4 linked regions of the Drosophila melanogaster genome follow. Changing the gene in region 3 together with the main gene of any one other region gives a genetic interaction. Each region holds a gene or a part of one and is shown on either strand. Other genes may lie near its edges. The genes, in order: Pld, rdgA, sktl and PRL-1.

What was found.
Region 1: of sktl (region 3) and Pld, changing one suppresses a phenotype caused by changing the other (phenotypic suppression), as found in Drosophila melanogaster (one study listed by BioGRID).
Region 2: of sktl (region 3) and rdgA, changing one enhances a phenotype caused by changing the other (phenotypic enhancement), as found in Drosophila melanogaster (one study listed by BioGRID).
Region 4: of sktl (region 3) and PRL-1, changing one suppresses a phenotype caused by changing the other (phenotypic suppression), as found in Drosophila melanogaster (one study listed by BioGRID).

Annotation. Positions count from the first base shown.
Region 1 is NT_033778.4:6,242,218-6,250,540, forward strand, and holds the start of Pld (phospholipase D), read left to right. Parts: upstream 1-3,294; 5' UTR 3,295-3,360; intron 3,361-4,046; 5' UTR 4,047-4,216; coding exon 4,217-4,367; intron 4,368-7,194; coding exon 7,195-7,801; intron 7,802-8,121; coding exon 8,122-8,323.
Region 2 is NC_004354.4:8,921,602-8,929,935, forward strand, and holds the start of rdgA (retinal degeneration A), read left to right. Parts: upstream 1-3,582; 5' UTR 3,583-4,095; intron 4,096-8,334. Other genes in the region: CG12661 (uncharacterized protein), read right to left, coding at 1,622-2,017; CG43255 (uncharacterized protein), read left to right, coding at 2,366-2,773. UniProt on the Drosophila melanogaster protein: Required for the maintenance of phospholipid turnover within the photoreceptor.
Region 3 is NT_033778.4:20,831,258-20,839,175, reverse strand, and holds the start of sktl (skittles), read left to right. Parts: upstream 1-3,147; 5' UTR 3,148-3,506; intron 3,507-6,757; exon of another isoform or gene 6,758-7,392; intron 7,393-7,918. UniProt on the Drosophila melanogaster protein: Catalyzes the phosphorylation of phosphatidylinositol 4-phosphate (PtdIns[4]P) to form phosphatidylinositol 4,5-bisphosphate (PtdIns[4,5]P(2)), a lipid second messenger that regulates several cellular processes such as signal transduction, vesicle trafficking, actin cytoskeleton dynamics, cell adhesion, and cell motility.
Region 4 is NT_033779.5:16,251,257-16,259,519, reverse strand, and holds the start of PRL-1 (PRL-1 phosphatase), read left to right. Parts: upstream 1-1,913; 5' UTR 1,914-2,444; intron 2,445-3,364; exon of another isoform or gene 3,365-3,470; intron 3,471-7,731; exon of another isoform or gene 7,732-7,761; coding exon of another isoform or gene 7,762-7,890; exon of another isoform or gene 7,891-8,263. Other genes in the region: EndoGI (endonuclease G inhibitor), read right to left, coding at 258-1,271, 1,341-1,406; CG46309 (uncharacterized protein), read left to right, coding at 7,762-7,890. UniProt on the Drosophila melanogaster protein: Probable phosphatase. Inhibits growth possibly by negatively regulating Src64B-induced growth. Regulates central nervous system circuit formation and stabilization of synapse-dense terminal arbors.

The sequences.
Region 1 (8,323 bases), about 15 Mb from region 3:
GCGCTTCCAGCGAGAAATCTCTGCTGATCGTTCTCATTTCCACGTTCGCTTGGCGTTTTGATCAGTTTCGAATTTGACTTATAGCGACGCTGGTCGGAGCTCTCTCGGCAAACAAAAACCGTGACAAGCAAAGATTTGAGCAAAGATTTGCCCAGAAGGGGTCTTGCTCGACACCAATAATAAAAATGCCGCGATAGAAGTGTGTGTGCCATTGACCAACATTTTAATATTTTTAAATTGTTTCTTGTGTGCTCACGAAACGTGTTCATGTGGCGCCTCAATTGATTTGATCTTATTTCACCAATTATCAAAGTGTTAAGTCTGCCATACGAAAGCATTTAAATGAAGTAATACATATGTATAAATGTACATATATACACTTAACCCACTGCTGAGGTCTCCAGCTTTCAGTGCCAGTTTGGAGTCCACGACGGAGAAGTTAAGCCACAACTTCTGGCATCAGATTAAGAGCTAAACCTATTTCAGCAGTAGCCGCAAGCATGTGAGTGCTTTAAATTCATAAAAACACATTAAAGTGCGTATTTTTAACTTTATTTAAATTGATAAATTTTATACCATTGATTGATTTATTTTATACCAATATTTATAAAATAGTTGGCCTGCTTTGGAAAAAAGAAGATGGATAAAAGTTGCACAAATAAAATGTGTGAAACGTGGTAAAAACTTGTGAATTTTGTGTCCAAAAATGGTTTAACATATATTATTACAATATCATTTAAACAAATTGTGGGTTCAGGCAGTTTAAAATTTCAATATATGGCAAAAGGCAAGTTAAAATTTTTCCCCAAATCATCAGACACAAGGACACTAAAATAAGTTTTTACTTTAGAAGTCACCCAGAACCATGTGCTGGAAAATGTTCTCCAACGAAGCTTCGGATTTTAATAATCATTAGGTACCAGTTGCTAATCAATTTTAGATTAAATATGCTTTTAGATAAGGATGTTGTCAGGTGATATTATGGATACGTATGAACATATGTTGCTACTTATTCTTGTTTAGTCCCACATCCCTAGATCAGTTAAAGGGTATACTAGATTCTTTTAAAAGTATCCAACATGTAAAACAAAGTCTTTTCGACCAAGGAAAGTATATAAATTCTTGATCAAGATTATTAATTGAGTCGATTATGTCCGTTCGTATATCCATTTGAACTTCGGGATCTCTGTACCTATAAAGGATTCAGCATACAGATCCTAAAGACTTTCCACACGTATGCTTATTTCCAAACGTAGCCACACCCAATGTAACGTCGACACACTGCAAACCATTTTTGGCCCTGATTTTAATTTCTTGGAATATGAACCTCTAAACCAATACTCTGTCTTTAATGACAGGAGCGGATTATAGAAGCACATTTCTTATCTTATCACTATTTATGTATATTTCACAAGTGTGACCAAGCTAATAGTGATATTAGTAAAATCTAATAGGCAACGCATAGACCTAAAGAATTAGAATGTGGTTTCCCACAACGATCAAAAAAAAAAATATTAAAACATTTTCAAAAGGTGTGTCAGTTTTGGGCGGTTGTGGGCGTGCCTCTAGAATCGTTTTATCTAATCTCAACTCTCTAGCTATAATGGTTCCTGAGATGGTGGTGTTCATACGGACAGACTGACATGGCCAGATCAACTCGGCTATTGGTTCTGATCAAGAATATATATACTTTATAATAATAAATAAATAATATACTTTATATGGTCGAAAACGTTTTGTCTGTTACATACTTTTTAACGAATCTAGTATACCCTTTTACTCTACGAGTAACGGGTACAACAAAAATGCTATATTCGACTTATGTTCTGACAGTCAGATACCCGTTACTCAGTTAGTGGAAATGGTGAATTGATTGAGAAAATATTTAAACAAATTTGAAAGTATGGGCGTGGCAAAAAGTTTTTTGGTAAATCGATAAAAATTTACAAGTGTAATAAAAATATAAAAAAAAATTTGAAAACATTTTTTAAAAGTGCAAGGATGTGCAAGTTTTAGGCGGCTATAGGCATTAGGGGGGCTTGGCAACTTTCTATCTGTTATATTTTGGAAGTGACAAACAGGTTCTTTTTTCGTCTTGGGCAACTATTATAATATATTATATTATATACTAAATAACAAGTTTACAAAGAATTCACTACACTAGTAATAAAAGCTATCACTACTTCAAAGTTAGCAGACCCAATACGAAATTCAATGACCAAATAGAAGTCAGCACCAAAACTTAATTACTTAAAAATTTCTTTGAGTGACAGAAGGAAAACTTATATTAGGACAGTATATTTCTTAGATTAGATTTATGGAAGATAACAATGTACTAATTTCTGAATTGTTTAAATAATATCGAACGAGTCAACTACCTTATCCAAACCGCTACCGGAGCACTATCCCTTCGAAAGCTTAGTCTCATTTCTCAACAGCTAACTATAATTTGAAAATATTTAGAATAAAGTTATTGTTCGATAGGCTCATGTTTTTTTTGGGATGAAAGGGGATTTTTATTAAATGTCCGAAAATAATTTTTCGTCACTAAAGTTTGGTATGGTATTTGGCATGATGCGATCGTCAAATGTTTTTACCGAGTCACTAACTTGGACATAGTCTCTAAAACATACTTTTGATTTTATTTTTACTTAGTTCCGAACTAGGGGTCAATAATTTAAGTTATTGAAATTCAGTTGCCCCGCGTGGGACAATCTAATCGAATGCTAATTGTAATTCGGTTATTTATCCTGCGCACTTCATTGGGGTCGTACAAATAATGAGTTCTGATTACAGCGATTGTGCCCAAGTCTAGTGTTGCCGATAAGATAGCCGCAATAGATACTAAGCAGAGCTACATGCACACCCAAAGTGCCGTTGTGACTCATCGACTCCTCGACCATTGTTGCGGGTCCGACAATAGGCCTGTACTCGATCAGCGATTTTTAAAAGGTGTGTGAACCGCGCAGAAAGCTTTGGAAAGCTTGTAGAGTTTGTGCCAATGCCTCGGCAGAGAACTTGTTCTTATGGATTGTGGCTGACCTTGCCGTAGAAGCCCATTATGTTTTTATTTGCATAATACCTTAGAACAGTCGAAGGGTTTTCGGGCTATCGCATTTCAATATCTTGGAGATTATGAAAAGCTTTGCCAGCTGTTTTGAAGTTCGCAGCTGTGCTCTGGAAAACTCCCTCTCCATTACCAACTTGCGGCATTGACGCTCTCGCCGTAACCGTTACCCGTTAACCGTTTTGAGCTCGGCGACCTAAGCTTTTGGCTGCGTCGCGAGGTTTAGTTAATATTATTAACCGGAGTGACGGCCAAGTTGTCGCAACGTTTCTCGTGGATCGCAGATCGTGGCGGTAAGGCGAGCTTTTTGCCGGGGGCTCAAAGTGTGAGTGTGAGGTGTCTTCAGTTTGGTTTTTTTCACATAGCGTGGCATTACTCTCTTTGACGAATTCAATGCGACGTCGCGCTTTTTTCGGTTCTGCAACTTCCGTTAGTCGGTGGCTCGAAAAGTAAACAAAGTGCTGCATATCGCATGCAAACGTGACAATCTTTCAGACGCACTCCAACTTGATAACTTGATAAGCATCTGTGAGATGCAAAGATACAAGTTATAAAGCACCATCTCGCGAAGCCATGTAGCCGAGTGAAAAAAGTAAAATATGCGAAAGCAGAAAAACAAAAAATTTGTGCGTGTGTTAGTTGGCCATTGTGCAAACCTTTAATGAGCTGGAAGCGCCAAAAGCCAAATACCAACGAATATAAAGAGCACGCGAAACATTCAGTTATATTTGCAAAACTTGGTTTTGTGTTCACGCAAAGATAACGATATGCCATGATAAAAATTTAATTAATTATTTTTCAATGCAAGGGATATAAAAAAAGAAAAGTATACACGCTGTGACTGAATGAAACTTGGAAGGCAAAATTAATTTAAATGATTATTTTCGTGGCGCAAAGTATCCTTCCTTCCTCTACTTACCTCCACGGCAATAAGTCCATTATACACAAACGCGGTATTTATAATTTGTGGTTTAAACAGCCTCCGCAGGCCGCAGAACGGACATTTTTCACGTAGGCGAACTGTCGATGCGACTGAGAAATGCAAAAAACTGGAGCCGACAACAAAAGCTTCCTATCTATAAAGCCAAAAACCGATTGCCAAAAATAAAATAGAGCCCATTAAATAGCCCGCGTAAAGCGCACACAACAATGATGGCCACGTGCTTGGATACCAAAACCAGCAAGAACCATGAGGCCCAGCAACTGCAACTGCCCCGGCAGGCGTCATCGAACGCCAACTTGCCACATTTGCAGGTCCGACGTCATCGCCGCAGCATCTCACAGCTGATGGCCAGCATGGGTAATTTTTAGATCTGAAGATAAAGATATTTTCATTTGCATAGATTACTTGGTTCTCGTAGAGCGGCAATGAAATATGTGCGTCATCGTGAGATGAGATAAGAGTGATCATGTTTGCTAAGATATTTCAACATTTAGAACTGGTTGGCGGTAGGTGTTATGGTATGCGAAAGTGAAAAATCATTCTGCACCAAGTTTTCATTGTTTCAATTTGGGGCGATTTATAACAATGAGTGTGCAGTCGAACTTAAATAAGTGTAGTAGTGTAGGGAACCAAGAACTGATAACGATTTCATTGCCTAAATAATAAATTAGCCGAACAATACCCGTTTCCTTTGGATTATATAAGCCTTTACCCACTTATTGCTTCCATCAAATTGCGTGTTGGGCTCGGCCTAACGGTGCAATTAGTAAATGAATCATAATCAATTTTAAAATGCATGACGCGCTGCAAGTAACGATACATGCCGATATTGTTAAAAATATATCGAGCCTGATTTACATTTGTACTCATGCTCGATCATTGCAACAGGAAGTTTCGATTTCTTTGCAATTGTGTGTAGGTCAGGTGAAGCAAGCGATCGGTGGGTTTAATAACCTTTTCAGTAGACCGGCCACTGACAAAACCCGCTAAACAAAGGCGATTCAAAATGAACGCCCTCGGTCTGAGGACATTTTGATAACGGGCATTAAATGGAAAGCATTAACATTCCTGCAAAAAAAAATACAATGCATATAACAGAATTTTTCAGTTAAATCAAAAATGTTTAAGTAACATTTAATTCGGCAATTTAGAACTAGTTTTTTTTCACACCAATGCCCTATCAATAGGAATGGGATACCACAGCTTTATTCGCCACCATAAAAACGTATTATTGTGGTTGGAGTTTAGTTTTTTCAACGAAAAATTGTATATTCTTGAAACAAAATGGGGTTACTTCTATTCGTCTTATCTGTTAGTGATAAAAGTGTCAAGTTTTTTTTAAGTTAATTTGCTTGCCAAAACCAATGAGCCAAAACTAATGAGTTCGGCAAATCGCTTTGAAAGTGAAAAGGTGTTAAGAAATTATGGTTCTTTTATTGAGTACGGTGTTACACTTATTATACCGCCTTAAATTTCTGAAAACGGCGGCCGATGATTGAATAATAGGTCCAAGGTTTAATTATATCCACAATTCTCTTTAACGATTCGTCTAATCAAATACATTTTTGATGGACTTAAATTTTTTTATTTTTTCACTTTTATCACAAATCATGGAACTCGAGCATTAAAGAAGTTTTTGTTTTTGCCTCCAGAAGTTTTTGTTTGGTGACTTGAAGCTGATAGCAAAAAGAGCTTCGTGATAAGGCATATGCCAACACTCGTTATTTTCACTACCCATATAATAACGAATTCAATACCAAGAATTTATGCCTGCCAGTTGAACTTGCCCATAAGCTAGCCTGTGTATGTAAAAGTGTGGTAATAAAACTTTGATGGCACTTATTATGATAGGGTATCATGGAAGTGCCCCAATGTCATTGATCATTGACGGCCATTATCAAATTCTTTGCACTCGGCGTTCCAGTTTATTTTAATTATCACAAGTGATAAGGAGCAATCGTAAGTTATGACTCGTTCAATTGTTTGATAAATTAAACCAACAACTTCTGAAACAGTATCTTAACAAAAATTTTCAGGTGTCGCTACCTTTTTTTTTTAAAAAACCATTTTCGATTTTTGAATTTTAAATATTTCTATACGCGGTACTCAGCGGACAGAAATAAAGTTACTCTGTGAATAGGCGAATAGGACAGGACACCTGTTATTGTCTGCTAATCAAAGCACTTGACTAAGTACTGATTTATTCTGTTTATTACTATCGTCGATAACTGAACCTGTGCACTTTTGCAAAGCCGTGCCGCATCCATAAACTCACTTAACCGTCATTGGTTGGCCTACCTACTGTGCAGTATGGCCTAATCTATTTGTTGTGCCGTTTTATTTGGGCTTGCTATCTAAATGTCAATCAGCTAGAAGCTGATTGCTCAAGTATTTTGGGAAAACAGAACAGTAGAGATTAGGACAGGTATATGGCAAAACTGTATCTCCAAAAGATGCGTACGATACCTAATATTCTCCTCTGATTTGCGTTCTCAGCCAGTAGCACTGAGCTAAGGAAAATGCTATACTTACGGGCGAAGGAGGTGCGTCGTGTGTATTTAGCTTTAAATGTTTTCAAGGTTCGAGCAGGGTTCCTATGTCAAGTTCAGCCGACCATAATGCATTAAACTTAACTACACCACATGTCGTGAGCTCTGACCTTGAGCGAGCTTCTGTTTCGAATGTAGATAGCACTTGCTAATTATTACCATTTAATGGTTACAACACAGGCCGTTCAGCCGGGGGACATATCTCAAAAATGTTATATTTACATTCATGGCTTTTCGAACATCAAACAATTTAAATTTTATTATTAGACTAGAAAAATATATACTTCAAGTTATATAAAAAATGTTTTTAATTTATGTTTACCAGTATTTTTAAATGTTGTGCCAATCTTACCCAACATGAAATAGAACTTACACATGTACTTAGCATGGCTGGGAAACTGACAACTAAAGGTCACCTAGCCATTTAATCTATTTTATGTTAGGTAAAATCACAGAGGGAACTTTACATTTGCAACTCTTTTTGATTTTACACAAATAACACATGCCGCAAGTATCATGGGTTTGAAATATAATTGTGATCGTCATGGGACTCACCAATACTTCTAGTTTAAGGTTAAATCTGTTAAAATTTATTGTCTTCCTTACGCCCATTCCTTTTATCTGTCATCTTGCAGTTGAACACCCCACTGACGATGTTTACCGGCCGGCGCACTATGGCGGCTACGTTAACAGAGGCTACGATGATTTAGACAGTTCCTACTACTTTGCCCAGTACGAGGCGATGGCAGATGCCGGCACCGTTGGAGGCGCCTTGCCGCCCTACGCACTTACCAACTCGGACGAAGAACATGGCAGCGGGGAAGAGGACGCGTCGGAGGAGAACTCCAACAATGAAGAGGGAGAGGGAGTGTTCCGGGACTGCACAGACGAAGCGGTTGTCGAGCATCATAACCGCTGCCTGCCAGAATTTCAGTTCTCTCTAGTCGATTCTGAGTACGATGAGACCCTCGCTTTTCCTGATTCTGTGACCATTCTATCCAACGTGGGCGACAAGCCGGTGCTGGTGGAGCGCAAGGAGACGGACGATGATGAGGAGGAGTTCGACGACGAGGAAAACAACAGTGTAGTCCTGAGACACGAAATACCATTTACTAGCATATACGGGCCGAGCGTCAAGTTCAACTCGTTCCAGCGCAAGGTTTTCATCCCGGGCCGTGAGATTCATGTTCGGATCGTCGATACGGAGCGTAGCGTCACTACACATCTGCTAAACCCCAATCTGTGAGTGAAATCCAATCATATTCATATAGGAAAGATGAGTAAGAGGTTATACTAAATACGTTAAAACGGGAGCGTTTTTTACATATGTTCTTGATTGGGATCACCAGCTGAAGCGATCTGACCGTGTCCGTCCGTCTGTCCGTAGAAGTGGTGAAAAAAGACTTGCCTACGCTGTGCAAGTTTGTTTTAAAACGTGGCCACGCCCTTTCTAACAGCCACAAATCCCCCATGCTGTTATCATTTGTCTTGCCAATTTTTATTGGTACGCCGAAAACATTTTGACCAAATAAGAATGACATTACTTTTTTTCTTTTACGCAGGTACACAATCGAGCTGACCCACGGTCCCTTCAAGTGGACGATCAAGCGGCGATACAAGCACTTTAACTCGTTGCACCAGCAGCTCAGCTTTTTCCGCACCTCGCTCAACATTCCTTTTCCCAGTCGCAGTCACAAGGAGAAGCGTACCACTTTGAAAGCCACAGCCAGAGAGATGGCTGACGAGTCCACTCTAAAGGACCTT
Region 2 (8,334 bases), on a different chromosome or scaffold from region 3:
GCTCTTTAAACTGCTCAACTGACATGCCGATTGCTTTTGTCTGCACACCTATATCTGTCAAATACACCTCCGTACACTCGAGTCTGATTGCCCCTTGATGGACAGGACAGGAGAGTTCAGCTCAGCTCAGCTCAGTTCAGTTCAGTTCAGTTCAGTTCAGGGGGCGGCAGTGGGTATATTTGGTCATCGGAAATTGTCGATGGGTGGATAGCACAGTCACAGTCCGTTGTCCTGACTTTATGTTCCCCTTGGACTGATGAAACTTTAACTGGGGAAACTCCACATAGAATTGCAATACAAAGCTGATTATCGGTAGTATCGATACGTTTGATATTTGCTTGTCGATAGACATGAAATATAGATCAAATATGGCTGACCTAATTACTTCCTCATTTAAGTAACTAAATGGTCCCGTCAATTGAATGAACAGTTCACTATTTCGTTTCTTTTGTCTTAAACTATGAAAATCGATTATTTCGATAAGTGTACAGTTTTCACAATTGGTTATCGATTGCTCAGGCAGGCAGACGCAACGCTGACCAATTTCCACGGTAATTGCAGCGCACTCATTGACGGACAGGTCGTAGATGCCTTTTTCAAATAATGTCTACTTCGTTGCCTTGCTTCGAACCAATTTGAAGACCTCCTTGTTTCTCCTTGCCGTTTCCTTCCTCTGCTGCAATTGTGCGCCGTTTTTGGCGCCCAAACTTTGGTGTGCCTCGCCTGAAAGTATGCCACATTGCCCGTGACGAGGAGATTATTGCTATTGTCGTATCAATTGGAGTACACCCCAACAGCCTAGCAAGGAAGCTAGGAACTGCAGCTGTGGTCAATGCTGACCCTCGGACTAGAGTCAAAAGAAGACTCAAGCGACACCACCCTCATGACCTCCCTAACCTGGTTTTGACCTAGAAAGTCTTAGTTTTAAAATTCATTAGAATAATCAAATAAATAATAATTACTATGTTATATCAACTATTATAATTCTCCCTATCATTTTTAGGATTAAAAATCTGTTAGTCTTAAGTAACCAAGACACATTGTAAAATAAAATAATTTAAGCAGATCAAATTAAGTTGCCGCATGGGTAACAGTGCGTTGATCAAATAATAAAAACATCATCGTAATGGAAAAAAAAAAAAAAAAAAAAAAAAATCAATTGGTAGCATTTACATGCGGCGCGTTTTTCTCTATGTTGCTGAATAAATCACAGACCATACGAAACATGTTCGTATGAATAATTTGTGGACTGTATTGCTTTTGGGCCATTATCCTTCGATGGAATGAGGTCTCGTAATTGCTTTATAAAAAGCATGTTTTTGGGTCACCAAAAATTGCAGCATAATCGATTAAATTAGTAAATAAATCAATAAACATTTCCTCGGCCGATTGGCGACTGGTGTTAGATTACTAATTGCCGTTTGGCATTAATTAAGTCGCTATTTAGCAATTAAGAGGTGTTTGATGGCATTTAAGGAAATCGGTGGTTCACAGTCCATGATATTTTTTAAATGAATTTTTGAATAATAAATATAATATAAAATAATATAAATTAAGACATTTTTGTTTAAATCCAACGAATATAATTTTAATTAAATCAAACCATAAGTGTTCTGTTTTGCTAAACACCTTTCTCCAGGGTATCTCGCATAGCCCTAAACATTTCGGGCAACAATCCCACATGGCTATCCACGCAGTTGCTGGTGCAACGTTCCAAGCTATAATCGGATCCATTGAGGCGGCACTGCTGGATGCACTTCTCTAGGCGATTCTCAAAATCGGATATACCCTGCTGTACGAAGCAGCGTGATCGGGTCAAACGGATTTGGCAGCGATCGATGCACCGCTCCACCGCCTCCGCATTCGCGTCCGCATCCGCACAACAGGCGGTCGCACATCTGTGCATCTCGATCTGCAATTTGCGCAGATAATCCCGATCCAGATCCTCCATGGCGGTTAGGATTGCATTGTCAACGCGTTCTCGCTTCTCCTCCAAACTCGAATTGTCACAATCCATCTCGAGTAGTATAAAATTTATGGAAAATATAAAAGTCGGTTGGTAATTTTCGTTTGACTGCCCTTATTTGAGTTACGCAAAACGCAATGCTACTTTGGTTTTGTAATAATTTCTTCAATTTAAATAATATATGAGCAGGAAATGGGCGACTCGCAGTGTTAAGTAAGTTAGGTCATGTTCTTGACTCTTCTTGGGCAAATTTTTAAACTAAAGTCACGGCATTGACATAACTCAGTGTGAAGCTATCTCTAATTGAGTTTGAGTTAATTTGTTTTTTGCTGATAAGTGCACTACTGAAAGTGTATATAAGTAGAAGTTGGACAACGTGGCCGTGCATAGTTTTTAAAAATGCATTACTTGCATATCTTTGGGCTCTTGGTCTTTTTGGCCGCTTTTGGATTAAGCCTTGAACGTCGTGATAAGGAATTCTACGGGATATCTAAGGAGCAGCTAACGACTACTAAACATAAAGAGAATTCTGTGGAATTTGTACAACACAAGATATCCTTGAAGCTGCCGCAGAGATACAACCGATTCAAACGTCAGTCCTTTACGCCATTTGAAAGGCGTGTGATACGTTTACTACGTAAATTGGGCTTATTAAAAAGCGATGCTGAACAACTGTTGGATACTCTCGAAAAGGACAAGGATCTATTACGAAGATTGAAGAAGTTACTCGACGAGGTCGACACCGAACATGAGACCAATGATTTCCTTGAAGATTTCTTCGATTTAATATTTTTCAAAAAAATATAAGCAGCTTTCTTCCTGTTGTTAGGAATGATATTGATCGATAACAATATTGCCGATTATACCGATAATTAATGCCATAAAATCGTTTATTTAAATTGTTTTAGATATTGCAAACAATCTGATTGCTAATAGCTAACAATATCATTACGATAATCGTTTGGATTATTCTAATCCCTTACTTCCTCCATCGCCCTCACACGCCATCACTCTCTCTCTCTCTCTCTCTCTCTCGATAATTATCGATAGTTTGGGCACTTGTGTTGGACCAACTTAAAACACCGCACAAATGATTGCCATAAATTTGATGGCAACAAACAGCGACAACAAAAACAAAGAGTAGCGCTGCCGCCCGCACTTTCTCCGCAGTTCTCGCCATTTCTCCGCTCTACTTTCTCCGCTCCTCTCTCCACTCAATAATGTGCCAACTGTTGAGTTTCCTTCCGCTTCCGAATGCGAGCGCGAAAGAGAGAGAGCGAGAGCGAGAGAGGGTGTGAGACAGAGACGGGGCGAGCGGGAGTATGTGGGCGTTGGGCGGCAAAGGGTGAGGGAGTGAGAACGATACGGCCACTCGCTCGCTTGCTCGCTCTCGCTCTCTCTCTCTCCCTCCCTCCCTCTCTCCCTCTCGCTCTCTCGCCGGCATCGAAGGCTGCTTACAGGTGTTTATAGTACTTCGGCTTTTGCCGACCACAGCCGAAGTTGCCGGCCGATTGCTGGCCTCTCGCTCGCTCCCGCGCTTATGCTCAATAGCGCCCTCTCGCTCCCGGTCGCTTTATATTCCTGGCAATGCGTCGCCTTCGCATCAGTTTCATTTGAACGGTCGACGAGGCGCGTTGTTCTAGAAATAAATAACTCATTTAAATAGCAGAACAGCCCAAGCAGGCCAAACATTTCAAAGCAAAATACCAAAACTCTCTGGAACTACCAAGTTCTTAAAAAAAAACACCAACATCGCCCAAAACACAACAAAAACATCGCATACCATAAGAAAAACATAAACATACTGAAAAACTTACAATATCTAAATATAAAGTAACTATTTTTTTGATTGTGCTTCTAAGTGTTGTGCTAAACCAATATTAACTTGTACAAATATTCGAAAATATTCAAAGATATTCCAAAGTATTTATTCAATACTTGAAATATAAGCTACGATACAAACTTAAAACTTAAAACTATGTAAGACTAAGATCTAGTTTTTGTGCTTTTTGAATCCTAACTGTTAACGTGTAAAAGCACGCAAAAATGTGCACGAAATTTTGACTTGATTCGAACGACTGAAAAGTGCGTTCCATTGTAAAGAAAAACTAAAGCGGCAAACCGAAACGGTAAATATGAATATACTTATTGAAATTCATTGAAAAATTTCCTTGGAAAATTTGTTGATTAATTTCGTGATGTGAGAGTTTATTTGCCGTGTGTGATTGTGAGCAGCGTGTTTGTATTGTGATTTTTCGGAAATGTTTTTATATTTAGTCTTCAAATGGGGATTCCCAGATTTATTTAAAGTTTCAGCTACAATTTTTGGCAAATATTCGTAGTTTTAGGAAAAGCTCCACAGAATATTGTATTGTATGCTTCAGTTAATAGAATCACGCATGGAAATTATCAAGAATTCGGTTCTCAGCTTGTTGTGTTGAATTTGATGAGTTTTTTTGGAATATCATAAAATATAATCGGATTTTATAGTTTACAAAGAGTTTCAAAATTCCACAGATGTAAAATAGTTGACTCGAATTGCTTGAATATATTAATATATCTTAGTTTAAAGCAGTAATTTTTTAAAAATTATTTAAAGCTCGAGCTCTTTTTAGGCTCCACAAATATGTGTGCAACAATGTGTAATTTTGAATAAAATTCCGTGGAATGCCCTTTGCTTTTCATTCTGTATAAATTCAATTACCAACATTCTCATTGTCTCAGAGTATCCCCCTACTTTCGAATGTCTGTGTGTCAATAAGATGATTTAATGAAAAATCGTCTGCAATTTCGGTTCGAAATTCGGCAAAAACACGGCGAAACAAACTCGTTACGCATACGCCGTGTGGGCAATTGTATTAAACGATGCCATTCATTGAAAATTGCTGGCCAAAGCGAGCGGTTTAGGTTTTTTTTAGGCCACTCCGGTTAAGGATTTGGGTGTGCTCTTGTCGGCCAGCCAGTCTCGTTAGCCGAACTTGTTGCCACATTCGCATCCGCACTGGCATCCGCAACGACATCCGCACACGCATCCTTCGTGTACGTGTCCTTTTGCTAATCGGTGCGTTTAAGGAACTGCATGCTGGAGGATGTTGCAGCTCTTGTATTGGCGCGTGACCGGCTTTTCTCTGACATAAGAGCGCGAAATGGCGAAAATAACGTAATGGCGAAAGGCGGCACTCTGTGCGGTTGGCAATCTTTGATTTCGCATTTCCCCGGTAACAGGGGAAAATGTCAGACAACGTGGCGTATACGTGGCATTTGTGTTTGTGCTTCCGCTCGTTTGTTGTCCTCAAGTTTGCATTCAACGACGAAGGCACTTCGTCGCGGTAACCAAGTGTAAATATACAATTTAAATTTCTCTAAGGAAACTTTAAATTTATATATTTTTTTTTTAATCAATACGAAGAATTTACATTTTAAATCACCAAAGTATAAACATGAATGAAGCCTGCACATATTTGTAATAATAAATGTGTGCGCTTTGAAATGGTTTAAAGATTTTTGTTTTAGGCGACTTTGTTTGTTTCTGAAATAAAGAAATTGCTACCCATTTGTCTTGCGTACATATAAAAACGCGATGTTTCAATTGTTGATCCACAATTTTTTGTTTGCTCTTGTTTGCTTCGCTTCACATAAAATATTCAATTTTCATTTCTTGTCGCTTTTTTTTTATTCGTGACCCAGGGGTTGGGTTCGCATATAAAATCCAATAAAAATACACATAAAAATTGAAAACAAAATACAAAAAAAAGAAGAAAAAAAAAAAAACAGAAAAGAGAATGAAAATGGTCGAAAGATACCGCGGGCTATTTGACAGCAACGAGGGGGAAACACGTATGCATCGCATTTTGATTGCAGATTGTATATCCATTTGTAAGGGTGTTTCCTTTGCCAAAAGCACCGTGTTAATTAATAGAAATTGCCATTTGAACAATTTTTGGGAATTTCAATATCGAATGGAATTGCATTGCAAACCAAACCAATTACCAACCAGTGTGGTAATTTATTCACCATTTTTTACCCCCACAAAAATTTCCACAATCAATCATTGTTGTGTGTGGCAGTTTAGGTAGCTCAAAGAAGCTGGGGTCGGAAAAATCGAATTTTTGAAATTTGAAAGCTGGAATCGTTTGCCCATTTTTTGCCCATGTTTGCCCACCAATTAGTTTTTTTGCCCACGTCCAGTTTTTGAGATATGAATTTTCGAAAAAGTTCGAAAATTTTCGAAAATCAAAAATTTCGCTTTTTTCAAAATTTTTTTTTTTAAATCGCAATAACATCGTTTGCCCACGTTTGCCCACCCTTTAGAATTTTGAAAAAATTTATACTTTAGAAAATATAAGGCTTTTAAGTTTACCTCGGTCTAATCAGAGAGTAAATCGTTTGCCCATCTCTTAAAACCAAATATTATCAACAAAAAACGTTTGCCCAACCATTATTATTAGTTTTTATCGTTTGCCCACCCTTTAAAAAACCTTTAACAAAAATTTTTTTTCGATTGCCCACATTTAAAATACAACCAATTTCCTTAGCCCACCTCTTTAAAATAAAAATTTCCAATAAAAAACGTTTGCCCACCATTTAAAACTAAATAATTTCGATTGCCCACCTTTTAAAACTAAATAATTTCGTTTGCCCACCCTTTAAAATTTGTTTTTTTCGTTTGCCCACCTCTTAAAAATGGTTTTTTCGATTTTTCACCTATTAAAAATAAATTTGTACATATGTATGTAATAATTGTAAGATGTGGCGTCAAAAGCACAGTTACTTACAAAAGAACAGTTATTTACATATTTACATACATTTTCAATATATCCATAGTGTTAATCATTCATGAATTGTAACATCAATTTTTCTTAATCATTGTTTCATTTCATGGAAAATATTTTATATTGCAATATAATATATATGCAAAAAAATGTATGTATGTTTATCAACACCCTCCAAGCTCAAGAAAATTCTGGAATAAAATATTTTCCATGAAATGAAACAATGATTAAGAAAAATTGATGTTACAATTCATGAATGATTAACACTATGGATATATTGAAAATGTATGTAAATATGTAAATAACTGTTCTTTTGTAAGTAACTGTGCTTTTGACGCCACATCTTACAATTATTACATACATATGTACAAATTTATTTTTAATAGGTGAAAAATCGAAAAAACCATTTTTAAGAGGTGGGCAAACGAAAAAAACAAATTTTAAAGGGTGGGCAAACGTTAAAAATGAATTTTAAAGGATGGGCAAACGAAATAATTTATTTTTAAAGGGTGGGCAAACGTTAAAAATGAATTTTAAAGGATGGGCAAACGAAATTATTTAGTTTTAAAAGGTGGGCAATCGAAATTATTTAGTTTTAAGAGTGGGCAAACGAAAAAAACAAATTTTAAAGGGTGGGCAAACGAAATAATTTATTTTTAAAGGGTGGGCAAACGTTAAAAATGAATTTTAAAGGATGGGCAAACGAAATTATTTAGTTTTAAAAGGTGGGCAATCGAAATTATTTAGTTTTAAGAGTGGGCAAACGAAAAAAACAAATTTTAAAGGGTGGGCAAACGAAATAATTTATTTTTAAAGGGTGGGCAAACGTTAAAAATGAATTTTAAAGGATGGGCAAACGAAATTATTTAGTTTTAAAAGGTGGGCAATCGAAATTATTTAGTTTTAAGAGTGGGCAAACGAAAAAAACAAATTTTAAAGGGTGGGCAAACGAAATTATTTAGTTTTAAAAGGTGGGCAATCGAAATTATTTAGTTTTAAATGGTGGGCAAACGTTTTTTATTGGAAATTTTTATTTTAAAGAGGTGGGCTAAGGAAATTGGTTGTATTTTAAATGTGGGCAATCGAAAAAAAATTTTTGTTAAAGGTTTTTTAAAGGGTGGGCAAACGATAAAAACTAATAATAATGGTTGGGCAAACGTTTTTTGTTGATAATATTTGGTTTTAAGAGATGGGCAAACGATTTACTCTCTGATTAGACCGAGGTAAACTTAAAAGCCTTATATTTTCTAAAGTATAAATTTTTTCAAAATTCTAAAGGGTGGGCAAACGTGGGCAAACGATGTTATTGCGATTTAAAAAAAAAATTTTTGAAAAAAGCGAAATTTTTGATTTTCGAAAATTTTCGAACTTTTTCGAAAATTCATATCTCAAAAACTGGACGTGGGCAAAAAAAACTAATTGGTGGGCAAACATGGGCAAAAAATGGGCAAACGATTCCAGCTTTCAAATTTCAAAAATTCGATTTTTCCGACCCCAGCTTCTTTGAGCTAGTTTAGGTGGGTTGTATTGATAACATGGCTTTGGGGGGCATTTGGCTAAATAAATATTATGATGGAAAATATCAGAACGACAGCG
Region 3 (7,918 bases):
AATCCATCCACATTGTGCCAGTTCGATAACATTCGACTGTGGGCAAACGAAGTTATGCATAGGTAAGGTTATGAACTCCAGAAACGCTGCGCCATTAGTTCGGTCTATAAATAGCCAGCAAATGCATGTGCCCATAAATTTCACCAGTGCAGCATATCGAATAATGCTCGACTTAATTACACATGGGGGTAGCAATAGCAATGCAGGGGTGCAGACAGCTGGCAGACGACGCGACTCGCAGTGGCACAAATGCACTTAAGTTTTCTTCGCTCATCGCTCTGCTTTTTTTTCGGGGAGGAAGTCGTGGCATACGGCACACATCACTGCCACCGAAAGGAGGGATGTATACTCGTAGTACCTATGTGCGCTATATGGGATTGAACTATGGAACAGGCAGAACCAAACTTGATGTGCATAACTCAAGAAACTGTGTCAAATATCCTTTTTGAAGTGTCGAGAAATACAGTTTAGCTCAGTCTTTAAACGAATGTTATTTTGCTTTCCCAATGTATCTTGACATATATAGTTTGAACATCTTAAGGCGAAAAGGTGCGCAGAACTCAGGTAAATCACGGCATCTGCAACCCTTAGCGAGTGCTCACTGTACGGCAATTGCATTGTAGCTCGCGCCAAAGTCTGGCAGCTGCCGTCTAGATTTCGGGCCTCAGTCTTAGCATCCAAATCTCAACCGGAATCCTTCGCAGACGCAGGACTCATTCGCTCAGTCAATGCTCTCATTGGGCTCTGGGGATAATTGCTGCCAAACGACGTGACATTTCTCCCTGACAATCCTTTGTGCATTCTGCCCGGCATTTCGACTCATTCTTCTCCGTCATCTGTAGCTCAGTTGTAGTTGCAGTCATACTAGTACTTACTATGGATGTTGTTGTTGTTATTGTCACTCCGTGCAAATTCAGGCAGCTCGACAAACAGAATGAAAGACAGACACAATTTATGTTTGTTCGAGCGGTGACGAAGGAAGTGAAGCTACACTGAGAAAAATTAACTTAGTTATATGAGTTTTAGTTTTGGAACTAAGCCAAGAACTTATAGTTCTTAGAAATATTCTAAAGATAAGATCATACTTGCTTGGTCTTGTTTAATTTCACATCTATGTAACAACCAAAATGGTGTTCCTTGCACTTAAGGTGGATACGTTTCTCTCAGTGTCCTTTTATGGCAGCTGCTCCGGCTGAACTGAGCTGAGCTGCGAGGCTCGTGCATTTCGTTAACGTGACAAAAATACATTGATTACATTTTTTTTAGCTGCACTCGACTCGGGGATCTGCGTTTTTGGGCTCTAGGAGCTAGGAGCTGGGATCTGGTAACTGGGAGCTGGAAAACTGGGTACTGGGTACTGGGAACTGGGACCTGGGCGCACGTCCGCACACTTGGCACATTTGTCAGGGCGACGCCGCGATGTAAACATCTTGCACGTAGGATCCGGGGTCCTTTTGCATCCTGGCTGGATGGCACGACAACTAGTTGTAGTTGGAATCGGAGTCCTCGTGCTGCACGGGGTCTTTGAACTGACAAATTACATTGACAACGAATGGGGCGAAATTCCATTCGTGTGCACTCTGAACTCCAACTCCTCTAGCTCCCCAGAACTGTCTCATTTTGTGAGGCTCCACACTGAAAAGTTTGGGGGTCAATGCCATGGCATTTCATATAAACAAAAAGTTAGGCATAACTGTCAGCAAGCAAATAAAATAAACAAATGTCAATAAATGACAATTGATTGTGCTTTTCAAAGTTTTCGGCCCAAACCATTATTAGTCAAATCAGATTGTCTATTTAGTTTACATTGTGTTAATGATTTAAAACTCTCGGTTTGGACACGATTTATTTGTATAGCCATTTGAAAATGGCATTTATTGTCATTTTTTTTTTTTATTGCTACGCGTTGTTAAAATTTCTTGAAAGGTGTCAATAGCAAACAGATGTTAAACGAGATACAGTATTGAATATTGGTTTTATTCTATGAATTTCGATCCTTCATAAGCGAAACATTGTTTTCATTTGTTAGTTTCAGTGCACTTTGTTCATTAGTTGTTTGTGGATTTAATTTGCTTACTTGGCTCTGTGCTTTTGCTTATTGTTTCAGTTAGTTTCGCAATTTGGAAACTATCTCAAATTGGCAATAGTGAAAAGAGCAAACACATCGTGGGCTCCTCTTAATTATTTTCACCGACGAACGGGTGGGCGATCGAACTCTTATGGCTGTAATAATTGGTGCAAAATTGTTCAATTGCCTAATTGCTGTCGATTGCTCATAATTTTTAGTGTAACACTGTGTATTTGTGGCACATTTTCGTTTTATGGCCACGAGCGTTCATGAATGAATGGGCTTTATTTACAGGGCATTTAAAAGTTTCGGGTAATCTTATCACCCAGAAGTGTTCAAACTTGCGCAAGTCATCAAACAAATTTCGAAACGGAAATACCAAAGGGTTGAAATAGTCTAAACGAAAAGATAACTGCCTTAAAATTGCGCCCAAAATTCGCACAAAATCGCAGTAACAATAACAAGCGAACCTAATCAAAAATCCAAAATCTCAGGCAGCTGCGCATGCGTAGCAGATGAAAGAGATAGCGAGAGATCGCACCTTTGAAAATGCTACCGGAACAGCTGGCGCAGAAGAGCGAGAGGGAAGACAGGAGTGAGTGATAAGAAATAGCAACAAAAGCGCATAAACCACCACCAACTACTACAACAACGAACGCGACAAAGCGAACAATGCTCTTCATTATGCCCGTTATTATTAAACAAATAGGGAGAGCGAAAGAGAGAAAGGTGAGAGCGCACCATGTTGATAACACACCCCGTGTAGCTAAAAGTTAGCCAGATTCACAATTAAAGGAGCTAGAAATGCTGATATATGCTCAATTTGATTTATGATCACCTATAAAAACTTGATACTGATAATAGCAGCTAATAATACTTTAATTTTCAGTACCTTAAGACACATAATTCAAAGTATGCACTCAATTAAAACATTGTATTAGATATCCTTAGCTAGAAAGTAGTCAAGCTGCCAGCACTGCCTACCTTACTCACCCAGGTAATTTGACTCCGACTCTCCGGCTTACTGCTCTCCCACCCCGGGAATTAGAAGTCTGAGTCGAAGTCGCCAACTGTAGCCGCTCATTCGATTCCCAGCAGTCGAAGCACGCAGACGCAACCGCTGCGATCGTCGCGAGATATTTGTGTTCGATCATTGTTTTCGTATCGTTCGGGTTAACCACGTTCGTTGAGTGTCGTGTCGACTTGTGTTTACCGTTGTGCAGTGTTAAACTATTTACGCTTTGTCTTGTGGGTGCAGCACCCCCACCACCCAGCCACCCACTACACATACGCACTGTCAAGTTTTGTGGTGCCCAAAAGTAATCAAATGACACGTGCTTGAAATACACATTTTACTATCCATCAGTGGCGGCCGAAACAACAACAAAAGCATAAGCCAAACTTGGGATTACCTCGGCATTGTTTATACAGGAAAGCGGTAAGTTTTGGCCACAATAAACCGTAAAGCACATTCGGAATGCTTTGACCCCAATAAGCTTAACAATAAACACAAATATTCAATACGATTCCGCATACGCCCCTCGTAATTACACATGCCTTAATTCACATAATCACAAACTACAGACATATGTATATATTTATGTACCTCCGCCCATTTATTGAAGTAAATTCCGATGGTTTTTATTTTTGCTCATTCGAGGACCTCGCTAAGCCGCGTTTTATGACTCAGGAGCCTCACAAAGTCAAAGTCGTCAGACCGCAAACTGATTTCGTTCGCTTTTCTCCGAATGTTCTTTATAACGTAGATCCCACAAATGAGTCATCCGTGCGCTTGGGGATACCGGAGTGGATACATAACTGCCTGAGATACGTATGTATCGTATAATTGGGGGAGGCAGTGGGCTAAGGTGACTGATCAGGTTGATGGGGAATGAATGAGCTGGGGGTGCTGGTGACTAAGCCCCCAGCATTGGATAACGCTAATTGGGTTGGGTAAAGAAATGTGTGCACACAGATGTGATAGTCTGCTGGCTAGGAAAGAGTCACCTCTAAGGCAGTTGTGAATGGGTTACATTGAATAACATTCCAGTCAGTCCTCAAAAATATCCAGTTATGTAGCTTGAAATAAAAAACATTTCTAAAAGAAGATTTTTAAGTTTCTTTGAATGTTTTGGTTGGTCTCTTACATTTTAATCAGCTTATGCATTTGAAGAAGTTGGCTTTCGCCACCTCGAATACTTGTTATCTCGACTCATCTGGAAACCTCAGAATATATCAGTGGCACGATTTCAATCTCACCGCATTGTGGTGTTTCGCAGATTTCCCTAATTTCAGTTTGCCCGCGCCTAATTGCAATAATCAAGGGAGCACCGCATAATCTCACTGATCTAGTTCCAGTTTAAGAGCGTTTCTGCGGTCTCGATGGCTCCATTAGAGTGCTAAACACCGGCCATTACGGCGGTCATCAGGAGAGGTGTTATTACCTGGACGTCTGGACGTGGAAACCAGTCGGCACTGGAAGTCACTCACCTGTTGCGGCCAAGAGATCGATATCATTGACAATTGGTGTCGACGGTAGCAGCAGTGGTATATAATGCCAGTTCGATATGTTGCTACCGTTAGATGGGAAATGCCAAAGCAATGATGATTGTCCATTTGAGTGGGATTAACGTTTAATTTGGCTTAGTTTATTGATTTTCCATCGAACAGGTCGGTTAAATGTCAGGGAATGTCGCGAAATGGAACATTTCGTCGATTGCATTTGCTAAACCATTTGCAACTCTTTGTTTTTTGCTCACTCATGTGTCAGTTTGACATTTTGCAACAATGGTCGATTCTATTGAACGGATTATGGCTGCCGCGACTTGAATAATTGCACGGTTTTAATGCGTTCATTCAGTTTTTTACATAATTAAATGATTGTTTAAAACTGATTTATTATTTAATTGTTTGCCACTCGAACGACAACAATTAATTATGCAATGGCGCAAAGATGCGATATAAATAAATAATAATTTCATTATAATCAATGCAACAGCTGCCAGTGGGCGCAAGTGATGCGCGGAAGGGGCGTGGCAAGCAATTAAAATTTATTACTCTTATTTTGCATTTATTCCATTTTAATTTGTCGTTTAAATGTCAAAACTATTAAAATAATTATGCTGGATGCCGGATTAATCAATGCTCTGGCCTTTGTCCAATCGATTTTGATCTGGTTGGGCCGTAACTTTTGGTTAATTAATCGGGGTTACGAGCGGGGAAATTTACCCCATCCACCCCATTCAACTTTCCCCCATTTCACCTTGTGTCCAATTTGTGCGGCTGACCCCAATGAGCCAAGTTCAGTTAACACTTAACCACCCCGCATATTAACTTAATTATCATGATTAACATTTTCTGTGTAATTTCTGTATTTTCGCTGGCCGTTCTCAGTTGAATTTTGCGATGCAATTCCCATTATTCGTACCTTTTAAACTGACCAGAACTTAAATTTGTTATTCAACACGCTTCCCTCGCTTTTTTTCTGTTTTTTTTTTTCTTGATTTGTTTATTATGAAATGCTTTCGATAACGAACCATTATCATATCTTCATGCGATATGGCAAAGAGTTCCGTTGATTTCTTTCTGTTTTCGCAGATTGAAGTGCATAAATTATTTTGTCTCTATTTTTAAATTAATTGGCAGATTGTCGCAGACTTTAGAATTCTATTTGGTCGCAAACTTGTTTGGCGACAACTCTATTAGGCATTTGCATATGAATTTCGACTGCCTTTTGTGCCTAATTAGCCGGCAAAAGTACAACGAACTTCGAAAATTGTCTTATTTTCTTAGTCACGAATTTAATGTACAATACATCAATTTCTACACTATGCAACACACCCAATTAAGTGCAATTTGTGACTTTGTGAGCCTCATTAACTCATCGCATCTCAGCTCAGCTATTTCTCCTCGTGGAAACCGGATTGTTAGCTAAACATTTTTTACATTACTTTGCCTTTGCCTACTAATGAGCAGAATTACTCATGACTGGCCCATGTAGATATAAATATCGATTGAGGGGCTGTTTTTCAATCAATTTAAACGGCGTGCCGTGGCAGGGGGAGGTGGTAATGAGACAAACGAACCACAGAAAAATTCAGTGGTCAAGGGCAGAGGGTCCTGAAATGCCTTCTTCACCGGCTTCGCTGGCTAATCCAATTAGAATTGCGCCGTCGGCTGGGAAGTCGTCTTTGTAGGTGTTCCCTAATTAGATTGGTGTTGTTCGGCCGCAAAGCAATTCCTGTGAAAAAATTGAAATTATTATTTGAGTCTAGATATCCACACATTTCTCTTCCAAATATAGTATGAATCGCACGGCCCGCTTTTCGATCTTAAATCCTAAATCAAGCTGCTTGAAATGTAACGAAGCTTAGGCAAATAGTAATAAAAACTGTTTTTATTGTATGTTTTTCTTAAATAGTTTTAAACTACTAATCCGAACAATTTTCACTTATTTTAACACAAGTAGTTTGCATTGTAACTGACTTTATAGCAGAATTAAAAATTTTTTATAACAAGTGTACGTGGCACTTTACAACACTGCGCTTTGTTGCTGATCAGCAAAGACTCTCTCCGTGGTGGGAAACTTGGAAACTAGCAGAAGGTAAAAAAAAAAAACAATGTAATGAAATAATACCGCAAAATATACCGCGCAGCACAAAATTAACTAACGCCAGCGCAAGCGATAAACGATAACACGCGTAAAAATCTTCTGCGCGAACGACTCATCAACAGTTTTCTCTTGCCGAGAAATATTTGATTTTCGCCTGGTTTTAAAGTTCGCGGAGTGGATACATTGCAGCGGAAGGCTCTCGAAAAATCGGGTTAACTTTTGGCGGACGACGATCGCCGATTGAAGTGGGTGTGGGAAAATGCAAAATGCGGCACTTCGATGAGGAATATCCAAGATTGCCGCACGACGACGTCATCCTCAGTCACAAACACACACGCACACACCACACACAATAAACCAGGTGTGCACGGAGAATTCAAATTCGTTGAGATATTGTTGTAAATTATGAAAGCAATTTATCAAGCGGAAAGTGGAAATCGAAAGAGCTGGATAAAAGGGGAAGCAAAAGGAGGAAGTACGCCACAAACAACAACAGCGACGGCGGCGGAGCGACAGAGAAAGCGCTACAGATAAACGCGCCTTGAGCCGATCAACGAATACACAAAGCGAGCGAAAGAGAGGTGCCGATTGAAAGAAAGAGAGGGAGACGGAGAGGAGTAGAGAACAGCCGAGGGCAAATAATTATCTCTTTTCGCTGGATATCTTTCGGTTTTTTTGACCTCTAGCAAACTATTCCCTCGAGCATTTCTGTGTAAGTACGCTAATTAAATTACAAATAAAAACGGCAAAACGCTATAATTGCAAGCTCATAATTCACAACAAATGGTCCCAAGGCAAAAGCAGCCACAGCAACAGCAACACAACAACAACGACCACAAAAACGAGGGTCAAGTGGCAAGTTATTAACTTTAGAGGGACTTCTTCCATTTAAATAAGATCCAACGTTATTGCTAATAAAGCAACTAGCCTCGCACATTTCAGTTAGTTTAGTTTCATTCACTGAATTTGGCAAAACTTTCCGTTGTTAACGTACAATTATTGTTGTTTTTGTTCTATTTGACGTGTCATGCGTGCGATAAATATTAAAAAAAAAAAGGAAAACAGACACGAGGAAAGATATATAGGAGATGCCGCCGACATATCCGCCGAGCGACAATCTAAAAGTTTACGAAAATAAACACACACGAGCCAGCTGAATGGCCTCCCACTTATGATGCGCCCCCTGCCACGCCCATCGTGGCCATGTTTTGGTTTCATTTTCCATTTTTCAAAATACA
Region 4 (8,263 bases), on a different chromosome or scaffold from region 3:
TTTTAAATGCTTTAAGCTATTGAAGAAATATGAAGAGAACAAATAATTTGTTACTGATCGAGATAATAAAAAGGACCACTATTTTTGAGAACAGTTATAAAATACTTATCATTTTATTCATTTTTAAACAATTTCTAACATTTCGAAACATAATTCAGATATTGAAATGCTTTACTGTGTGTGCCTTCAGAGATTACGACCAGAATAGGTGTTTTAGTACATAAGGAAACAATCCTTCAGTCATGAAAGATGCACTACTAATCATCATTTACAGGTCCTTCAAAGGGAGCCTTGCAACCAGCCTTTTCGTAAAACTCGAATGGCAGCGGATCCTCGTTGTCGTAATAGTCGGAATCGCGGGCGCAACTGGGACCAAGTTCCATTTTCACCATCTTGTCGCGCCAAAAGTCGAGAAGCTCTTTGGTGAGAACCTCATCCCTCAGATTGAAAATCCAACTGTTGTAGTCGTCGGGCCCATAGAAACCAGCATCACCCTTGTACTCCTGCAGCAGCTCGGCGGCCTTGTTTTGATCCTCCGCTGAGGGTGTGCCATCGAAGAGCAGCTTCCAGATTATCTCCCTGGCGGCTGCCGCTATCTTCTTCACGCTGGCCTGGTGAACGCTGTCCGGAACGATGATTTTGGTCAGAACAAAGCGCTTCATTAGAGTTCGGTATTCCTCGAGCGGATTTTCCTTGGTCAGGGTGGCCTCAAATTCGCCAGACAGAGCGGCGGCATCATCGGCACTCAGTTCACCCGGAGTTGTAGGCGTCGCTGGCCCATCCTGATCCAGCGAAGCCTGCTCCTCGAGTGCTGCGCGCACCTTTAAGCTGGCTGCAAATGGAGCGGTACAACCGGCATGGGCATAGAACTCCAATGGCGGGGTGTCGTCGCTGTCAAAGAGATCACTGTCGCGTGACCAACAGGGACCGAGTTGCTTCTTCACCAGCACATCGCGCCAAAAGTCGAGGAGTTCCTTCTTTAGAACCTCATCCCTCAGCTTGACAATCCATTCGTTGTACGGCGTCGGGTCGTAGAAGCAGGCGTCACCACGGTATTCCTCCAGCAATTGGCTGGCCTTCTCTGTGTTCGATTGCGAGGTACCGGCCTCGTCGAATAACAGCCGCCAGATGACGTCACGCGCCGCTGCAGCCGTTCGATCGAAATTCTCCTTGGTGACATCATCATCCACGATTTCGTCTACCTGCACGCGTGTTTCGATAAGCTTTTGGTAATCCTTAACGGGATCCACCAGGCCAATGGTGTAATCGTTCTGTCCAGACAATAGTTGTTATTGTTTGTAAACTATTTTTGTTTATTTTCTATGGCTGTTGCTTATTACCTGTGCTACTTTCTCGGCCGTTGCCATTTTGTCGGATTGTGTGTCCTCGGCCTTGCGCTTGGACATTCCCCTCTGGATAAATTGGCGATTTAAGGTTCTTCGAAGTAAAGCGTTTAAAATCGTTGGGCTATTGATCGTCACTTCTGTCGGAAAGAGATAAGATGACTAATTCAGATCGCCGCTTGCTGTTGCGATACTACGAATGTAAATAGTAGGGTAGTTCTTTTCAATAGAGAATAATTTTAATTGGAATATTCTCGGAAGGACAGACCAAGAATCAAAATAAGACGACTTATTGGATGAATAAGAAAAGAAAGTATGTGACATATTGAAAATATTATATATTTTATGTCGGTTTATAAATAAATATATATGTATATATATTGTACAACTTCCTTTAAAATCACATCTTACATTTAAAATAAAAAAAACTGTTTTTAAAAGACAATTGCAAAATAGGTAATTAAATTATTACAAAAAAGTATCGATTCTGCCCGCAATCGATGTTTATCTAACACTTAATTGCACTCGATACTATCGGCTCTATCGAGTGTTCGAGATTATCGAATATAATCACCATCCGTGTCTACCAACACAAACGAGCGAATTGTTCGCAACGCCTACTTCGATTACAAGTACTTTGCTCTTGGAAATCGGTAGAAAAAATTGTGCAATCCGTGCTGGAAACTACAGATATTATTTTCGCCCGATTAATTCATGTCAAATTGATAGATTCATCTTATACCATTGGTTCCGCCCCGTGCTGACTGTGTTTGTGTGTGTGTGTGCGTGACAGACACAAAGAAATTTGAGGTTAAGCTGCAGATGAATTTTGCGTTAATGTCGCTGAAAAACCAAAGTTTAACAATCCTATTCAATAAAAAACACTTAAGCTAAAGATACAATCAATTTACAGTTGCAATAAGAGCAATAGTTGTGTCGTAAAAGGCAACACACACCAGCCAATTGCATTCGTGGAATTCGTGTCGGTGAGAGTCTCGCGGTGCGTCTGTGTGTGCGTGTGGACGTGAATTCAATTTTCTCGTGCACGAAAAGCAACGAAAAAGCTTCAAAAGTTATACTCAAATGTGTATGGCAATTGTGGTAAGTGCGGCAGGGGATCGGCTACAGCCGCAAGTTTTTAAATAATACATTTTTGTTGCATAAATTGTTTCGAACGTCAACGAACACTCGCACAACTACTGAGCCACAAAGTATGTGTGCTTGTGTGCGTGCGTTGGCATTTACATTCAATTTTTTTCGTTTAAACAATTTCTAACTGGATTTTGTTTGTTTTATTCGAAAAATAGTCTTAAAAAACATGTTGGCATTAGAAATAGTTTCTGGAATTTGTTTAAATTTTTTTTTAGTATATATCAACCAGTTACATTTTTATTTGTCTGTGCAAAAACTATAAACAATTGTCATCTTGTAAAACTAGAATATGTTATAAACTAATTGTGTTTACGTTTTTTATAAATATGAATGTGAACTTTTTAAATGTATTCTTCTCAAAATACCAACAAATCTGTGTAATTGCTATGAATAATATTCTTTTCTTCGCAATCAAATTAATCGAATTGCAAATTCTGCTGTGCTTGCATAAAAAACGTTAAGGAAAGTAATGTAATGTCCCATTTGTTATCATACACAACAATCATATACTTCAATAAATGGGTAACTTCACGCATTTTACTTTCATTCGACCCAGTTACCTGGTTAACTGCCTTCGCCAGTTGAAAATAAATGTCAGCTGACCCAGTTTTACCATCCGAACGGAACTAGGACGGGACCAAAACTATTTTGCACTGCACCAGTTAAAGTTTATTTCTCTTATTTTTTTTGGCAGTTTTTATCATCTTCATACGTCATTTGCTAGGTACATACACGTAGATTCTAATCTAATATCTAATCTGTTGAAGACATTTCGAGCAGATTTATATCATATCAAAGCGGCAGAGCAAACAGTAAACAAAAGACATGGCCGAGAGAAATTGTTTTTTTTAGAACAAAACAGCCAAATCAGTTGGCATTTTATACTGAACAAATGTGGACGGAGCAAAGTTGTAGTGCAAAAAGATTGCCTTCGTTCATAGCTTTCAATTTTACAATCAGTTGTTACTCAACAAGGTTTGGCTGTGATTTGCTGTTATCTCGAATTTTCGCATTTTTTCCACCTGTGTTTATCTTGATCGCACTGTTTGCTAATCGATATCAGCAAATTGCGTCAATTGGTATTGAAAGCGGTATAAGCGGTATAGAAATGGAACCTGGCAACTGAAACTGTCCCATACGCACCAAAGGAATATCAATTATACGCCAACCGGTGGTTGAAAATCCCAACGATATCCATTTTTTAACCGGTTCTCTTGTCAGATTTCTTGTGCTCTCTCCCTTTTATTTCCGTTTGGGGTCTCTTGTCCTTGAACAAGTTCAATGATAGTGCCCCGGCCACGGCAATACAAACAAAAGAAAGAAAAGAATCTCTTTCGGTTTCATTCTCTCTTTTTATTTATCCGTGATAAAAAAGAGCGAGCAGATAAGCGTATCAGCCAAGGGAAGAATTTTAAAATCCGGTTTGACTTTATCAAAAATATACCGAACAAACTCATACGAAAAGACGTCATAACTTGAACGCATCGATTACAAAACTCGATTAATTTGGTAGGGTTCCTTTCAATCATACAGATATACATTTTTCAAGATTGAATACCTATCTATCTAGCATTGCATTAAATTCCATTTTCTTATCAAGAGTACTACTACATGTATCTCAACTCAGTGTAGAGATTACGTATACGCTTCTTGGTTATTTTGTATTCCAGCTGTTTGTATTTTGTTGTCTGGGTTTATCTGCTTTCCGCCAGTTCTAAAATATTCCATATTCCCACGCACACAATCGAATCGAAAGCCAATTGAATTCCTCGAAATGTGTGGCAATACTTTCGTTCATTGAAATGCTTCCAGCAAATTTGTTTGAGGTCATTTTGATTTAGTGCAATTTATTGGATCTTTCTGAACATCTTCAACATCTTCTTAATTTTTGTTGTTGTGCGATAAATTTGCTTACTCGACAATTACCGAAATTAAACTTATTTAAAATTTACAACTTTCACTGCTCCGTGATCTGTAACCAAATCTATAAATGTGTCAAGTTGTAATTATAGAAATTCTCAAAATTAATTGAATGTAGATAAATGTATATTTCACGGTCTTTTGAGGTCATACTCGTACAGTAGCGGCAGCTTAAATTCTACAGCCAGCTAATTAAATACACTCGCACATTAGTTAGGAAGAAGTCAAGAACTCGCTAATTAGAAATATCGAAGTAGCATGAGAGTTGCGAACTTTCAGACTACTTTTCGCGGTTATATATCATTGTGCTGTATTATTTTTTTTTTTTTTTTTACTGCTGTCACGTTTTGGCCGCTTGTGTGCAGAATTTCACCAATACATGTCATATCCAAAAATAGACCAAAAAGCGAACAACAAAGCATGCAATACGATTTACAAACGTCAGTGGAGGGTGGAGGGTGGTAGATTGGTGGAAAATGGGAGGGGAAAATGTCACCGACCACCCCCGGATTCTATATATAGTGCGCGATAAATGCGGCGCTGTTTGTCCTCAATAGTTTTGGCCTGCCCTTGGTTAAGGTACACAGTACCCAAAACTAACCAGGAAAATGGCACTTTTTTGTTGATGTACTATGCATGTATGTACGTAATCCTTGTCTGTAAATCAACCTTGAAGGACCTGCAATTTGTGGCAGGAGAAGGCATGCATTCGATAATTGCAATAACGAGACAAGATTGCTTATTTATTTTTGTTTTGGTTGCATTTTATCAAAACAAAACAACAACAGCTGTTTTCCGATTAAAAGTCGTTGATGACGCATGAGAAGTCGCCGCCTGGTGCGTCACGAAAAACAGCGCGACCACTTGGCAACTAGAAAAAGGCGGTTTGAGATCCTAGTTGCCCCCGTGGTGGGGCCACCATTTCCTGCTCATCTCCTCCTGGTTCGCAGCACTCGAGACGCTTCGGGGCAAACTTAAAATTTCCATTATGGCGAAATACGGAAATCGCGGATGGATGGAGATGGAGATGGTGTTGGTGCTGGGGCTTGGACATCGCCCTTCCTCCTTTGCTAGTCGCGCAAAATCAATAACTCGAGCTTGGTCTGTGTTTTTTTTTGCTGTCTTTTCATTTGACTTGGGTTTCCAATACCCATACTTATCTGATCTGAAAGCGTGCCGCGAATATCTAAGGTGAACAAAACTTAGAAAAGTTTTGGTTTTCATGTGTTTGGCAGTACAAAAAAGGTTCTTGCTTGCTTTATATCTATATCTATATCTATCTATATCTCGTATCTATCTATATCTATCTATCTATATCAATCTATCTATATCAATCTTCTTGACTATACATTTATTGTAAGATGAATTTATATCTATTGATCCTAAATCATTTACAATTATTCTCAATATTCATTTAAGATACCAATGATTCCAATGATTTAAGTTCCAAGTTGGTAACAGTGTACTGTTTTATTGAATGTTTAGTCTACCAGCTTTCTACCCCATGTAGGTAGCTAGTTTTTGTTTTTTTAATAAGTGTATAAGACTTAATGTATTCTTAGTGTCTGCGTTATGTCTGGCTTTTTTTTTCGGCACGTCTCCGGTTTTATTGACACCCGTGGACAGACTTTAGCTTAGTAAGTTGAGGCTTGAGTGGCAGTTACCCTCATCACATTTCCCGTCCGTTAGTCATTTTCAATTTGTTTACAACCTTTTACTACTATTTTTTGCAAGTCTGTGATTATTGGCGTAAATCGGGCGATCTTGTTTGCCAGGATTGCAGTCGAAGTCTAAACAAAAACTGAAAGAGGGGACAAACAAAAAAAAAAAAAAAGAAAAGGGAACTGGAATTGAAGTACTTTGAACCCCGAATCCAAACTCAGACACACCGGCATTCAGTTGTGTTTGCTTTCTTACCTCCAGATTTCATCGGTTCCTTGTTCTTTGTTTCCTTCTTGTCTGGCCCTCGGTCTAAGTCGTCTGCTCCTGTTTCGGGAAAGTCCAATCAACTTTCCGCACAGACAAAACCATCTGCTACCTCGGAGAGAACAAAAAGTATTTTTTGTCAAAGATACAATAGTCTGTTAAGAAGTTTTGTCTAATTGCACGAATATCTTTATGTTGATTTGAATCAAAAGTTTGATTTCATTAAACTCGTCGTTTAAAGACATTATGATGTATTAACTGATTGGAAAATGTATTTGAAAATCTGTGTATGTAGCGAGGAGCATTCAAGTGGAACAAATGTGTACATATGTATGCATGTATGTTTGTATATAGCGAGTAACAATATAGCCGCAATTTGGTATTAGTGTCGTCATGCCATTTGCCTACATCTCGATTATAATCAACTGGTTTAAATGTAAGACTAATTTCATATTAAGTTACACGTTTGTGTGCGCCGTAGCCTTCATTAACTGTGCATAATATAAACCGCATTTAGCTTTGTTTATTGCCCTTAAATAACGACTGACCTTGGCATCCCGTAAAAGTTATAATCTGACTGCAAAACTTTCCTTCGCTGTATTTGAACACTTTCCAAGTCAGGTAGCTAGATGGGGAAAAAAACCTTTATATGCTAAAGATCTTATCAATCATTTATTTATTCCCCGATTTAAAAAGCGTTTCCACACAGTTATTTGAATATCCTACGGATTATATGTCTATAAGCATTTTGGCACTTTAAAATACCAAGCCATTAACGCGAAATAATTTGTATTGGTCATAAATATAAGTGTTTGTTAGGTAATGTCAATATGATTTGCGTTTCTTCGAAAATACAGGTATATTCAAAATTTTAGTAGAGTTTATTTTCGAAACTTATTTCAGAGACGAAGTCGAAAAAAATATTTTAAGATCTATATTTAAAAAGAACAGAATACAAACTAACTTGTTGTCTAGTTTCTAAAATTAAACAATTTAACATTTTAAAATAAATACCCTCGTGATTTTAAATCAGAACTACTTATATTGTCACTACTATACCAGAACGAATAAAATGCTTTAAAATTTAAACATTTTTAGTAAGCACAAAATTCGCCCTTTCATGGTCCATTGAACTCTGCTAATTATGTTCAACAGTAGAAAAGTAAAACTAACCAAGCAAATTGTTTCTATTTTTCCTGCCTCTATTGTTTTTGCACAACAGACTTTTTAAAGCGCTTTAAATATGCACCAGACTGTAGATAATTTTTTTTCGCTCTCTGCGTGAGCGATTGGAGAGATGTGCGTCACGACTCTCTCTTCGTTCTCCCCGGCAATGGAGACTTACTGCCGGACGGAGCGGCCGTTTCCGTGGCGTAAAATGGGCGGCGAAGAGTTGACAATCGCCAGTCGATAGCAAAACATGAGAGAGTGCTCATCACGCAGCAATACGCGTCTACTTATTGTGGTAATCGTAATCGATCAACGTCTCAGAATCGACACTTGTCGATATTTAATCGAGATACTATCTCGCCGTATAACGGGCGATTAACGATAGGTAAATACAATTTATCCGCTGGCAAATCTGAATGTGGAGGACCAATCCTCAGTATATTCGAATTAACTGATAGGAGAGAAAGCTTTACGATCCGCGGATAAAATCGATTAGTGTCTTCCGGCAAACACCTGTCGATATCTAATCGGGAGTCCATATCAACGGGTTACAAGCCGCCCCGTCGTAATCAGCAACTAATCACTGTATTTGCTTAAATGCATAGCGAAATACCTATGTATATATAGATATTTACATATATATTTGCCTGTGTGATTTTTCAATTTCGCCAAGACGCAAAACAAAAAATACATTGCATAAGTCACAAGTAAAAACCGACTGGGAAATATAGCATCAACAAAAAGTGTTGTTG